Danio rerio: one gene and its partners. The protein of the gene in region 3 binds, or shares a complex with, the protein of the main gene of each other region. Links are inferred from orthologs where the notes say so. Each region holds a gene or a part of one and is shown on either strand. Other genes may lie near its edges.

Region 1 (4,250 bases), on a different chromosome or scaffold from region 3:
ACAGCTCTCGTACCTTTATTTCAGAGAGTATAGTACAGTATTGCCAAAGCATTTCATATATATATATATATATATATATATATATATATATATATATATATATATATATATATATATATATATATATATATATATATATAAAGTATGTAATACAATAACATCATTAAATCAATAAAATATACAGCAAATGATAAATAAATAACAGAAAAAGAAATAAAAATAGACATTACTGCAAAAATGATAATTACTAGAATAAAAAGTGTAGACTATTTAAATCAGGCAAATTAGCTGATTAGCCATTTCTAATGGTGTACAAATATTTTGCAGCCAGGATAATTTGTTCTCTCTGAGTTTATAGTACAGTTGATCTAAGTAGTTTATCAATTAATTATTTAATGTTTTTCTTAAAAAGGTAATGCAAAAACACATACAAATAACAACAACTTTAAAAAGCAAAAGTAAAACCCAAATCCTGAACATTTTAAGACATCCAAGAACTATGGTCAGAGAGATTTTGGAGTATCTCTGTGGGTCTGCTGGCTTGGGATTGTCTGTGTGAGTGTTGACGGTTCTCGTGCACACAGAACCAGCAGTAGGAAACATGCAGAGCGAGAGAAGATTTTCCACTGGTTAATCGATCGCAAATGTTTGGCTTTCTTGGGTGGCTGTTGATACACCTGGGCAGCCCACCCAAAAAAAATCTATGTATGTGAAGCATGTAATAATATACTTGATAATGCAATACTCACATTTGGTGCTTGTTGGCTTAATTCTGGTCTGATTTCAGGTCACAATAGTTTTGGACTAAAATTTGAATTAATAAAGTAGTTATTCTGAGATGATCTTCCTCTCCAGTGAGCTGTTAAAGCTATATATTGTTAATTATAGTCTGTACTGAATCAGTGAGTGTGTCAATATACCTAAAGGATTAGATCAATTGGACTCATAAGCTAATCATTACAAAAAATATATAAATGAAAAGACTTGATTCAAACAGTTTGCATTTAATGGAGAAATAATTTTTAAAAACCTTAAAAAATAAATATTACCAAAAAACCTTTCTTTTTATATATATGTATATTCTGGTGGCAAAACATGCCCATTTTTCTTTATAACATCCATCTGTAAGAATGTGGCAAAACAACACTCAAACATTCACTACCTGAAAAGAGGCCAGAGTTGTCAATGGGTCCCGGGTAGAGATTGTGCTCTCCAACATTGTACAAATCCCAGCTGTCAAAGCCAACATATTTCTTCCACTGTTTGAACCACCGGCTGTCAATCAAATACCTAAACAAATGAAACAATAGCTGGAGATCAGTGAAGAGTCAGAGGGAACAGACAATTAATGTGTTTCTCCTAAATTATGAGCGCAAAACAGTATGCAAAGCGAGTTTCTATTTAGTTACATTACACACCTACCAATTTAGAACAGTCAATAAGGATGCCTTTCTTAATCTCATCTAAAGTAGGAACTTGTTCCACTACATAATCTTGTTAGCACTTGATTCCCTCTGCCAAGAGACAGTCATTGCACTTTGATAAAATGTCAAAAATGTAAATTAACTGACTGGAAACCCAAAAGTGAAAATTTTGTCATTGTCGGCACATTGACAACTTGAATGTTTACATGCATTTTAGCAAAACAAAACGCATGGAATGTAGCAGAAGCTGTCATTTTGAATGAACTAACGTTATTCCTTTAAATCCAAAATGGTGATTTGCACAAGCATAAAGCTGAACTAAAAAAATAAGTCTATTAAAGGTGTCAAGACTCTACTTCTCGGATTGCTTTCCTAAATGAAAGCCACACAGAAACAAACAAACAAAAAAACAAATACAAATATTTAACAGATAATGTATTACATGTTTTGACCTTCAATCTACATAATTTCAAAATATATGTATGTGCATGTCTTATCGGTGCCATAAACTCTTCTGCTGCCTAACAACATTTTGAGTGACTGGGTGTTATCCAGTGGCCATGACAAAGCACTGCCTGCAATACTTGTTTATGTAGCTTACACTCCTTTCTACAACTTTAAAAGGAGAAGTCTGACCTTTATTTTAATCTAGTTTGTCAGTAACCCTAAAATAAGTTTGACGTCTGACAGAAAATAACACTTAACCCGTCAACGAAACGCAAACTAGGCTGGCTAACTAGCCTCGGCTAAAGAAGTGCCTTACATGCCTGACGCTACTTTGCCATGCAACATTAGCTTATCAGAAAACTGATAACCGACAACGGGGTGCTTGAGTTTATTTAACGTTACCAACTCTTCAGCTAACGTTACTGACGTGCCTAAAACACCTTATGCATTAAAGAGACATTTACGGTGGAAATACTGTGATGTTTGGGGAGAAATGGAATGCTAAGGTTGGTTAACCTGTGCTAACTAGCTACAAGACAACTTCATCGTTTTTTAACCGACATAAATTGTGTTAAATGCTAATAATATTAAACCACAAACTGTTGTGTCATATCGCCTGAACAGTAATGTACTCTATATAGTTTCTGGGTGTTAGCAGAACATGTGGCTGTCCACAGCCGGAGAAGTGAAGGGATTTCCGGCAGCCGGTGTCTCCGTCGGTAGGCCTGAGCTGATGCCGACAAGCGTGCCATGACTACGGCTTTATTTAAAAAAAACTCTTACCACTCGTCTCCCTTTCGAAGTAGCGTTTTTAGCAGTGTCCCGATGCTCTGCTTTTGACTCTCGGTGGACGGTACTGGTGTCTGTGTGATCACCGGCTTCTCGTCAGGGTCCGAAGCGTTACCCGACTCGGGTCCGCCTCCCTCCGCCATCGTGCAGCGAGTGAACCCGCAGTGACCGCGAGCGCGCTGCTGAAGTATACCGGGGACGCGCAGCGCTAAAGGGAGCGCGCACACTGGAGCTACTGCCGAGCTCGACTAGCCGCTACATGCAATCTGGGAGCGGCTGATAAATGAAACAAACCGAGCCCTCTGGTACAGCGGTTAATAAACATTTTTTATTAACTGAAATAAGTTTACTATGTTTTAGTTTAATATTGTTACATGTTCTGCCTATAAACTGTAATTTAGGCCTATATTCAATTGTTATTGTCCAATTACTTTATATGAACATGACCAGAAATGTATTTTCTGCTAAGACATTTTTACAAACACTGAGTGCTAGTGAAGTTTAACCTTAAGTTTAACTTAATGATATAAAACGCTCACCAAAATGTTTTTATTTTTACAATTTGTAAAAAAAAAAAAAAAATTATATATATATATATATATATATATATATATATATATATATATATATATATATATATATATATATATATATAATTGTAAAAACAATTCTTAAAATGTTTCAAATTTGAGATTGAGATCTCAAAATTGATAAAACTGTTATTTCTGACTGCAAATATGCACAGGTATGACTTTCTTTCAGGATACATTTGACTTATGTTTGTGAGTTTTGTGTGTGGTGTTCACATAGTAAATGCCATAGCATAACCTTTACATAGATTTGTACCATTCCAGAATAGAAAAAACAAAATAAAACAAAATGTTCATGATGAACAGTGGTTTGGTGTCCACATCATGACACCTCACTTTATACACTTTTTATATATTTATTTGTATTTATTATTTATGTCAGTTAGCTACTAAAATGATTAATGTTCCCTATTAAATTCAGTCTTAGAAGATTTAATCGAATAGTGAATTGCAAAATATTTCATTCGGAGCTGGATCTGTTTCATGAGTCAGCTGAACTGATTCACAAACCCCCTCTAAAAGATTCATTCATGAATCAAACATAACTGAATCAACAAATGCCAAAAATATGTTGCATGATGGTTTTATTAACATGTTTACAAAACTGTACTGGTTTCGATAAATAGCGTTTTATTCAAAGGTCCAAAAATGTACATTTTTGTTTTCTTTAATATAAATGATCAACATTTTAGTTAAATCATGATTATATTGTTGTGTAGGTATTTTTTAACAAGCCACTGCAGGGAGGATCAGGGGCCTGCACCGTGAAGCCAGAATAGTTTGCACCAATTCTGTTTTTTATATACCATAAAGGTAGCTCAGCTCATTCATTCATTTATTCATTCATTCATTCATTCATTCATTCATTTATTCATTTTCTTTCAGTTTAGGCCCTTATTTATCACAGCATGTTTTACGCAGCGGATGCCCTTCCAGCCCCAACCCAGTACTGAGAAAAACCACACTACAGCCAATTAAGAGCAGTACACCTATAGCGCAT
Region 2 (4,304 bases), on a different chromosome or scaffold from region 3:
GAGGTGCAAAATGTTTAATAACAATTTTTAGTGTTCTAAGCCTCTCTTATTATTGTGGGAAAATGTACTTTTTGGCTTTACTGTTGACCCTTGAAAAGAGGAAATTGTTTTTATTTAACTAATTTACTTATATTATTGGTGGCGCAGTGGATAGCGCTGTTACCTCACAGCAAGAAAATTGCTGATTTGAGTTTTGTGGAGTTTGCATATTCTCCCTTGTGTTCATGTGGGTTTCTTGCAGGTGCTCCGGTTTCCCTCACAGTTAAGACATGCGCTATAAGTGAATTGAGTAAGCTAAACTGGCCGTAGTGTATGTGTGTGAATGGGAGTGTATGGGAGTACTGGGTTGCAGCTTGAAGGGCATCCGCTGCGTGAAACATATGCTGGATAAGTTGGCGGTTCATTCTGCTGTGGCGACCCCAGATTAATAAAGGGACTAAACCGAAAAGAAAATGTAGATGTTAAAAAAAAATTATATTCATAAATTTTAACATTTATGTTAAAATGTTAAAATGTTATATGCTGTTCTTTAAATAAAAATAAATAAATAAAGCATGTCTAAAATGACGTTGATATGAACAAAATATGCCATGTATTCAACATAAGAGGAGGAATTGCAGCTGTTTATTGATATTACGGACGTCTCGATTAAAACTGCACTGTAAAAATGCAAAAACAAAAAAACCTCCAGACGCCCATTACACAGCAGCAGCAGGATGTCTATGAAGAGTTTATTTGCAAAACTGATACCTCCATTTTATAGAAATATTATGTTTTTTAATGTGTATTGAAGAGTACAATTGCAAAAAAAAATTCTATATTTATAGAAATAAAACTCTTGATATATCACCATTTTAAAATATACAGTAAGACTGTTTAGAGATGGTGTCAATTTGACTGGCCACCCAATGGATGCAAACACAATGAAGAGAGATAGTACTATATTCCAACTCATTATCTGCATTATATGATTTTTACAGTAATTAAAGAGATCATCTTTAAGACAGGAGTTTCTGTATGAAATTTGTACAACATTTATGCTAAATTGAAAGCATAACAAAGATTTATGAATACATCCTCATGTAGAGAAGTAGAAGTAAATGAGTTGGCAGATAAGCTGACTTAAACTTGCTCTGAGAAATGCTGTCAAACACAGTTTTACTTCATATATATATATATATATATATATATATATATATATATATATATATATATATATATATATATATATATATATATATATATATATATATATATATATATATAAGGGTTTTGATTAGTAAATTTGCATCAATGTATGTTTGTACTGTTCAGACGTGAATGGGTTAAGTCTAACAGCGCCGCAGTCGCATTCCAGCCAGCGATGACGCGCTTCCTGTGACGCAGTGAGATTTTAAAACATTGTCCTTCTCAGTAATGGCGGCTTCGTTCCCTTCGCCTTCGCAAAATAACAATAAATGGTACTTCACGCGCGAACAAATCGAAAACAGTCCATCTCGCCGAGCGGGACTTGATCCCGACAAAGAGCTCTCGTACCGACAGCAAGCTGCTAACCTGCTGCAGGACATGGGACAGCGGCTCAACGTGTATCTTTTTCAGTTAGGCAGGCGTCGGTCTCGGCAGCTGCTCCGAGGAGGCTGACGCCGGTTTGGGCGGCACGAGTGGTGTTGAATTTCAGCGTTATAATGACCTGAAACGGGTCTACCAGTATACACGCCTTTTCAATTGTGAAACTTGTGGATTAAGGCGAACGGAATAAAGGATTAATGTCCCAATTTTGCGTTTATTTTTTGGTTTGGTGTAGGCCTCAAGGCCTAACTGGAGGTGTCTCTGCCATTGAACAATAGCGTAGCCGGTGTCACAGCCATTCCCAATATGAATTTGACTCTGTTTACTTCATTACATCATTTGTTTATACTCTAAAATGAGGCGTTTATGTCATTTATGCCATTTCAAATATATATGTAAATATAGTAATCAGCATAGTTTCATTTTCCCTTTTCAGGGTGGCTCTGTTACAGTAACATGACATTTAAGTTAGTATATAGAGGAAATATGAGCTGTCCTGCTTTATCTTATGTTACTAATGTGCTTTAGATTAATGAAAACCAGCCATTTTCGTCTTATTTGTCGTTCTGAGTACTTTCACTTTTAACTTTACTGGTGCTAAAGGGTATCAAATGAACTGGCAATCTCTCTTATTGAAATAAAAATACCAGAGGCTTAGATAAAACGAATCTGTGACTGACAAGGTCATATTTTGCATGATATATTGGACAGAAGTGCCTTCAGACTGTTTATTTTTGTTATTTTAATGAATTACAATCCTTAACTTTGGACACTCAGCTCACAACTCACAATTAACACTGCCATTGTGTATATGCATCGCTTTTACATGGTCCAGTCCTTCACTCGCTTCCACCGGAATGTATGTGTCTTCTTTCATATACGCGTTTCAAATAAAACATGCTGGCTGCATTGAACAAGATAATAATCTCTTAATGTCCCGTGTTGTTCAGGTGATTGCTCCTGCAGCTCTGTTTTTAGCAGCGAAGGTGGAGGAACAGCCCCGTAAGCTGGAGCATGTGATTAAGGTGACCCATGCATGTCTCAATCCTCAGGACCCATCACCGGACACCAGGAGTGATGTAAGTAATACTGTACTGTATATGGATTATGGCCTTAAAAACATTGGTTTTGTCTACGTTATTTGTTTAAATGTTACTTGATCTTTTGGGTACACTTCATTTTAAGGTGTTAGAGTTTAGTTGTATTTAAGTATTGACTGATGGAAGTTAACAACTGTGTATTTACTATAGGGTTTGAAATAGAGTTTTGGCTTAGGGTTAGTTGCATGTAGTTTTGCATTTTTTGTACGGCATTGAATTCGTTTCAGTTATAAATTTTAATACTAAACTAAAAAACTGAAACTAAAGTAAATGATAATAAAAAATGTTCTTTGGAGTGAACTTGCTTTAATTTTTCAGAGTCCTGAGTGAGTGCTGTTTTTTTCACCTATTTTTGTTTCTGAATGTAACTATTTTGTAGTTGTTTTATCTAAATTATTTAATTGACCAACAGTTCATAACTCCATGATACCAGATCAGACAAGTTTCTATCGACTAATCAAAATATCCATTTTAGGTACATTTACATGACAATGGTCTACTAAACTCAGATTTATTTCCTTCGTTGAAAAAAAAGAGCTGCTCCGGCAATACAACCGAAAATGTCATGATCGGCTGATACCAAGTACCAATTCCGATGCTTGTTTACCTGTGCCATTGCATAAAGCACCTTTCCCCAAGTATGACACTTTAAGGCTGAATTATACTTCTGCATTAGTGATTGCCATAACCCATGGCACATATCTTGCATTTAGTCATGCTTTTATATTTCTGGTTTCTGTTAGTGTTGCGCTGACTGTAACACTACCGAAACGCAGGCTGGCAGGGGGGATTCTATATTTTTCTGTGCCGAGTTTCTTCACGGGTGTTTTGTTTTTACTGGAAATACTTTTAATGCAAACTCACTGTACAAGTAGCTCAAACTCACTCATTCAGAGGTTAAGAACCAGCAGAACTAAGCATGGACCTAAGATTCTGACGGTATAAAAACCTAGGGTAAAAATATCACTGTATTGTGACTACTGCTCTAAAATCTATTCTTTCTTTAGGGTAATGTCTGGGTAAAAAACTTTTGAACACATTATTTTTTATTTTGAGAAACATTTAAAATATTTTGGTGCAGTAAACATGTCATGCTAAATTAATTATTCACTTGAGCTGTCTTCATTTGCTTCAAAAACAGATTTTTTAGCAATTTAAAATGGCGTCTTCAGATAAATATTCTCACCAGGAGATTCTGTTGCCCTAAAAAAACAAACAAAAAAAACGTAAAAAAAGAAATCGTACACATCTCTTAGGAAAATTTTGATGGTTTTAAAACCTTGACCTTTTAAAACCGCGGTAACCTTGAAAACGGTTATCGTCCCATGCCTACGTGTAACAACTTTAATCATAAACACAAAACAAATATCTTCATCTAGAGCTTCTCCACAGGGACTCAATATTTGTTAAACACTCACGCCAAGGAGCTCGCTCCTCTCCTGCAACTCTCGGCCCCGATCACAATCATCAATGCTATCAAGCCAAGCGGTCACATATCTTGCACTATGCATTGGCGTAACATGTAGTTAAGTTTTTTTTGAGAGGTGCATTTAAGGGTTGGCAGTAGCGAAGGGTATGACTCTGTGTGCGCCAGACCAATTGCGTGCACTCACCTAGGGCTGCACAATATATCGT
Region 3 (3,654 bases):
TCGGGCTCAGGCATTGTTCACTTGGGCTTTGCTGCGGTACGCTTGTGTGTGAGTGTAAAACGGGCCTGAGGCCGAAACTGAAAGCGAGACATGACTTTTAAGGGACTGTTACATATGGATTGATTATTCATTCTTACTGTTCAATGAACACAAACTGTCGCAGGTTATTAAAGAAGCAAACCCCTCACTGCACGACAGCTGCACCTTCAGCAAACCTCATAATTCCTTCAGCACGAGGGCTTTATGATTGTTTAGAAGCGTCAAAAGTTGCTGATCTATTCGACTAAATATTTGACTGCGTGTCACCGCATGTTAAACAACTTAAGAGATATAACAGTAGGAAATCTCCACTGCTGAGCGAGAACGCTTATTGAACAGTGCATCATCTAAATCACCAACAATTCATCTCAATAAAACTTAAGTAGTTACATTCATTCATATGCGGCCAAGAAAGAATCAAATTAGTTTTCCCCCTCTCTGTTAGTGTTTAGTTCTGTTAAAGTCTAAAAATCTATTCATAATGGTCTTAGTCTTAAATTTGAATTGGTGAGTCCTGCAGACACCCTGCAATATATAAGGGTCGTACTAATAAATTACTTGAGAGATCCCCTAGGCTAATATATTGTAAGTATTATTAACTTAATATATTTATAATATGTAAGTGATAATTGCACTGTTAAAATATTCATGTGTCTTTCTTTTAACTGTGAACTAAAGTCATGAGCACTTTTTTATTTGCTTTAATCATAGTGTATATTAAGCATGGGCTGGTATAAGATTCTGACGGTATGATAACCTTGTATAAAAATATCACGGTTTTACAGTATTATCACTGCTGCTCTAAATATATATACTTTTTAAATGTCTGGGTAAAAAAAACTAAAGCTTTTTCCCTTTTGAACACAAAAAGGAAAGCAGGACTTTTCGGTCGCCGAGCTCCGCCAGTGCGTAAAATTGAGCCACCTGGTTTTCACTGTCTTCTGCTGTCTTCATTAGTTTTAAAAACACAGATTCCTTCAATTTAAAACGGCATCTTTGGAGATCTTTTCTGCTACAACGGTATAACATTAAATGTTGGCGGTTTTAAAATCGTACTATTTCCAAACTGCGGTTTAACTTGAAAAGGGTTATAGTCCTTAGGGTTACCTTTAGTTGGTCTATGGTGTTGACTTGCATAATGAGGAGTGCAATTCAAATAATTTCTATAACATGTAATGGGTAACATTCAGTCCTTGCTGATCATTTTATATAACCGTGTGTCTGTCTGGCAGGTTTTTAAGTACAAAACTTCAATGGAAAAGCACAAGATCTTCATCTCGGGCCTGCCATACTCCGCCACTAAAGAGACACTGGAGGATCTCTGTAAAGAACACGGCACAATCAGAGCCATCCGGATAGTCACCAACCGCTCTGGCAAATCCAAGGTGTGTAGGTTTCTGTCACTAATATAATGACACCAGTATACTTGTTAATCCAGAGGTGTAATGTTTGCAAATTTATGATTTATGTATTTGATTATGATAAAATGTCTATTCATCCATCCATTGTAAAGAAATAGTGCTTCAGTGAGTTAGGGTGCTTTCACACACACTTGGTTTAATTGCCTGAACCGTATCCAAAACGTTCAGAAAATCATGCGATATCTGCAGAAATCGTTTTTATTGTAGATGAGCAGACGTTATGACTATGTTTGTACTGGGTCAGTTCTGCTTGTCACCAAGGCAGGTGATACACAGACATACGCACACGAATGAACATTATGAAAATGATAGTTTGTTGTACAGTTGGTGGTTCATTTCTGTTTTTTGTTACAATTGCATTTATATTAGAAGTGAACTGAACCATACCCCAGACCATCTCTTTCAGGTGGACTCGGGTACGGTTGACATGTGCGCACCTGAGTTCAGAAGACCGCGTTCATGCTAGCTAAACGTACCCTACTCTGTCGTACCTAAACCCAAGTGCCTAAAGTGCACAAGTCTGTGAGGGGTGTTCTCATTTTTGCTGAGCACTGTTGACATAGCAGACGCCCAGGTGATGATTAAAGAGTGTGGGAACACAAGGGATGGAGCCACACAAAATTTAAACTTTGAAAGAAAAATATCTGATATTGATGGAAGAGAAGAGATGCTCTATTTGAGTTCACTGACTTGAAACTTTTGGATGTTTCAAATTAAATCTCCAGAGATTGCAAAACTAATAATGTGTGAAACACAAAAGCTACATTACCAAAGACACAAGAGCTACAACTCAAATCTAACAAAGAAATTGCGTTCAGTTCAGTGCCTACCTTATTAGGCTGTAAAAATAGGAAAGGAACAGCAGTTCCAAAAGTAGTTTAATTTGTCCCTCATCTGGTTTATAATCTCTGGGGAGGAAATGTTCAGTGGACAACATGGATCTGTAATATTTGCCTAGGCCCAATTACATCCCAACAAATAGTTAGCTGGCATAGATTAGCCATAGTATAGTCACCAAGGATCACTTACAGTACAGGAAATTTGAAATGCTTGTCTTACACCAGGAGATGATATTAATTTGATGGGGTATTTATAACATTGTTTACAAACTGTTTCATTGATGTCTTTCTCTGTGGTTAAAATGCTTATTGAAAGATGTGAGATTTTTATTTCTATAGCACCTTTATAATGTAAGGAGATTATCAATGATGGAAAAAAAAGACATAAAAGTATTTCAGATTATGGAACATTCCAGCATTTCAGGCAGGGAGGAGAGTAATGATCGAATGCTGTTGCAGTTCAAGTGAAATTGAAAGTGATTTAGTTCAGATTAATTTAAAATGTTGCTGTTTAAATATCTGGATCCAAGATTATGTAAACCTCTGTATAAAGAGAAACAGACTGACTCACTGATTGTTGATTGTTGAAGCTGCTTGTTGTGAAACATGAACAAAGCTTGTGGGTTTTGTTTGTAGGGTTTGGCGTATGTGGAGTTTGAAGATGAAGCACAGGCCTCTCAGGCGGTGTTGAAGATGGATGGCACCATGTTAGAGAACTTCACCCTCTCTGTTGCTATTAGCAACCCCCCAGGCAGGAGGATGAAAGACGAAGCAGCGCCGAGTCGATTCCTGGGGGCAGCGATGCCAAGGCAACTTCAGGGAGCGTAAGTGCTGCTGCATTCACCAGTTTAGCTGATCACACACATGCGCACACTGAAGTACGGCTTTGGGGATGTCTGGGATTTTACTGTGAAAATCTGTTGCTATCAAATCTTCTGTAAATATTCTATTTGAGAAATAAAAAGCTTCACTTTTTTACTACGAAGTGTAAATACAACATATAGGGCTGAATGATTAAGCAAAACCTAAATTGTGACGATGAGGCTCACTGTGATTGTGAAAGATGCAACTCATTATTTTGAAGAGCAGCTGTTTGTAATCTGCCGTGTTTTGCAGTGAATGCTGCTCAATACATCTCAGCAGGTTCTGTCGGTTCCTTGTTTTTTTTTTTATACTTTTATTTTAAGGTTTTTAAGTACAACAGAAAACAACAAAAAAGCAAACAATATTGTCTCAGAATATACACACTTTGCAATTAAATATATGAATTGCCGTACATGTGGGTTCAGCCGTTGGGGATACAAAATGTAATGTTACACAATATGTAGACATCTAAAAGTCCTATAAGGTAGTGT

The links.
Region 1: the proteins of sart3 (region 3) and usp4 are in contact, whole or in part, in a crystal structure (PDB 5CTR), measured with the Homo sapiens proteins. The link is inferred for Danio rerio from reciprocal best matches to the Homo sapiens genes SART3 and USP4. Residues at the interface, in NP_055521.1 of Homo sapiens: Asp437, Ser438, Ser439, Lys440, Gln490, Arg493, Glu494, Trp496, Asp497, Met500, Thr501, Ala505, Trp511, Tyr514, Lys529, Arg533, Cys537; in NP_003354.2 of Homo sapiens: Met24, Thr27, Leu28, Ser53, Trp54, Glu123, Gly125, Leu126, Phe127, Val128, Lys129, His130, Cys131, Lys132.
Region 2: sart3 (region 3) and ccnt1 share a complex: the UniProt entries of both Homo sapiens proteins name them as parts of the 7SK snRNP complex. The link is inferred for Danio rerio from reciprocal best matches to the Homo sapiens genes SART3 and CCNT1.

The regions. Positions count from the first base shown.
Region 1 is NC_133181.1:44,915,907-44,920,156, forward strand, and holds the start of usp4 (ubiquitin carboxyl-terminal hydrolase 4), read right to left. Parts: upstream 2,816-4,250; 5' UTR 2,804-2,815; coding exon 2,655-2,803; intron 1,291-2,654; coding exon 1,163-1,290; intron 1-1,162.
Region 2 is NC_133198.1:38,752,866-38,757,169, forward strand, and holds the start of ccnt1 (cyclin-T1), read left to right. Parts: upstream 1-1,387; 5' UTR 1,388-1,416; coding exon 1,417-1,586; intron 1,587-2,346; coding exon 2,347-2,428; intron 2,429-2,519; coding exon 2,520-2,648; intron 2,649-4,304. UniProt on the Homo sapiens protein: Regulatory subunit of the cyclin-dependent kinase pair (CDK9/cyclin-T1) complex, also called positive transcription elongation factor B (P-TEFb), which facilitates the transition from abortive to productive elongation by phosphorylating the CTD (C-terminal domain) of the large subunit of RNA polymerase II (RNA Pol II).
Region 3 is NC_133180.1:21,202,823-21,206,476, forward strand, and holds part of sart3 (squamous cell carcinoma antigen recognized by T-cells 3), read left to right. Parts: intron 1-1,271; coding exon 1,272-1,424; intron 1,425-2,935; coding exon 2,936-3,123; intron 3,124-3,654. UniProt on the Homo sapiens protein: U6 snRNP-binding protein that functions as a recycling factor of the splicing machinery. Promotes the initial reassembly of U4 and U6 snRNPs following their ejection from the spliceosome during its maturation.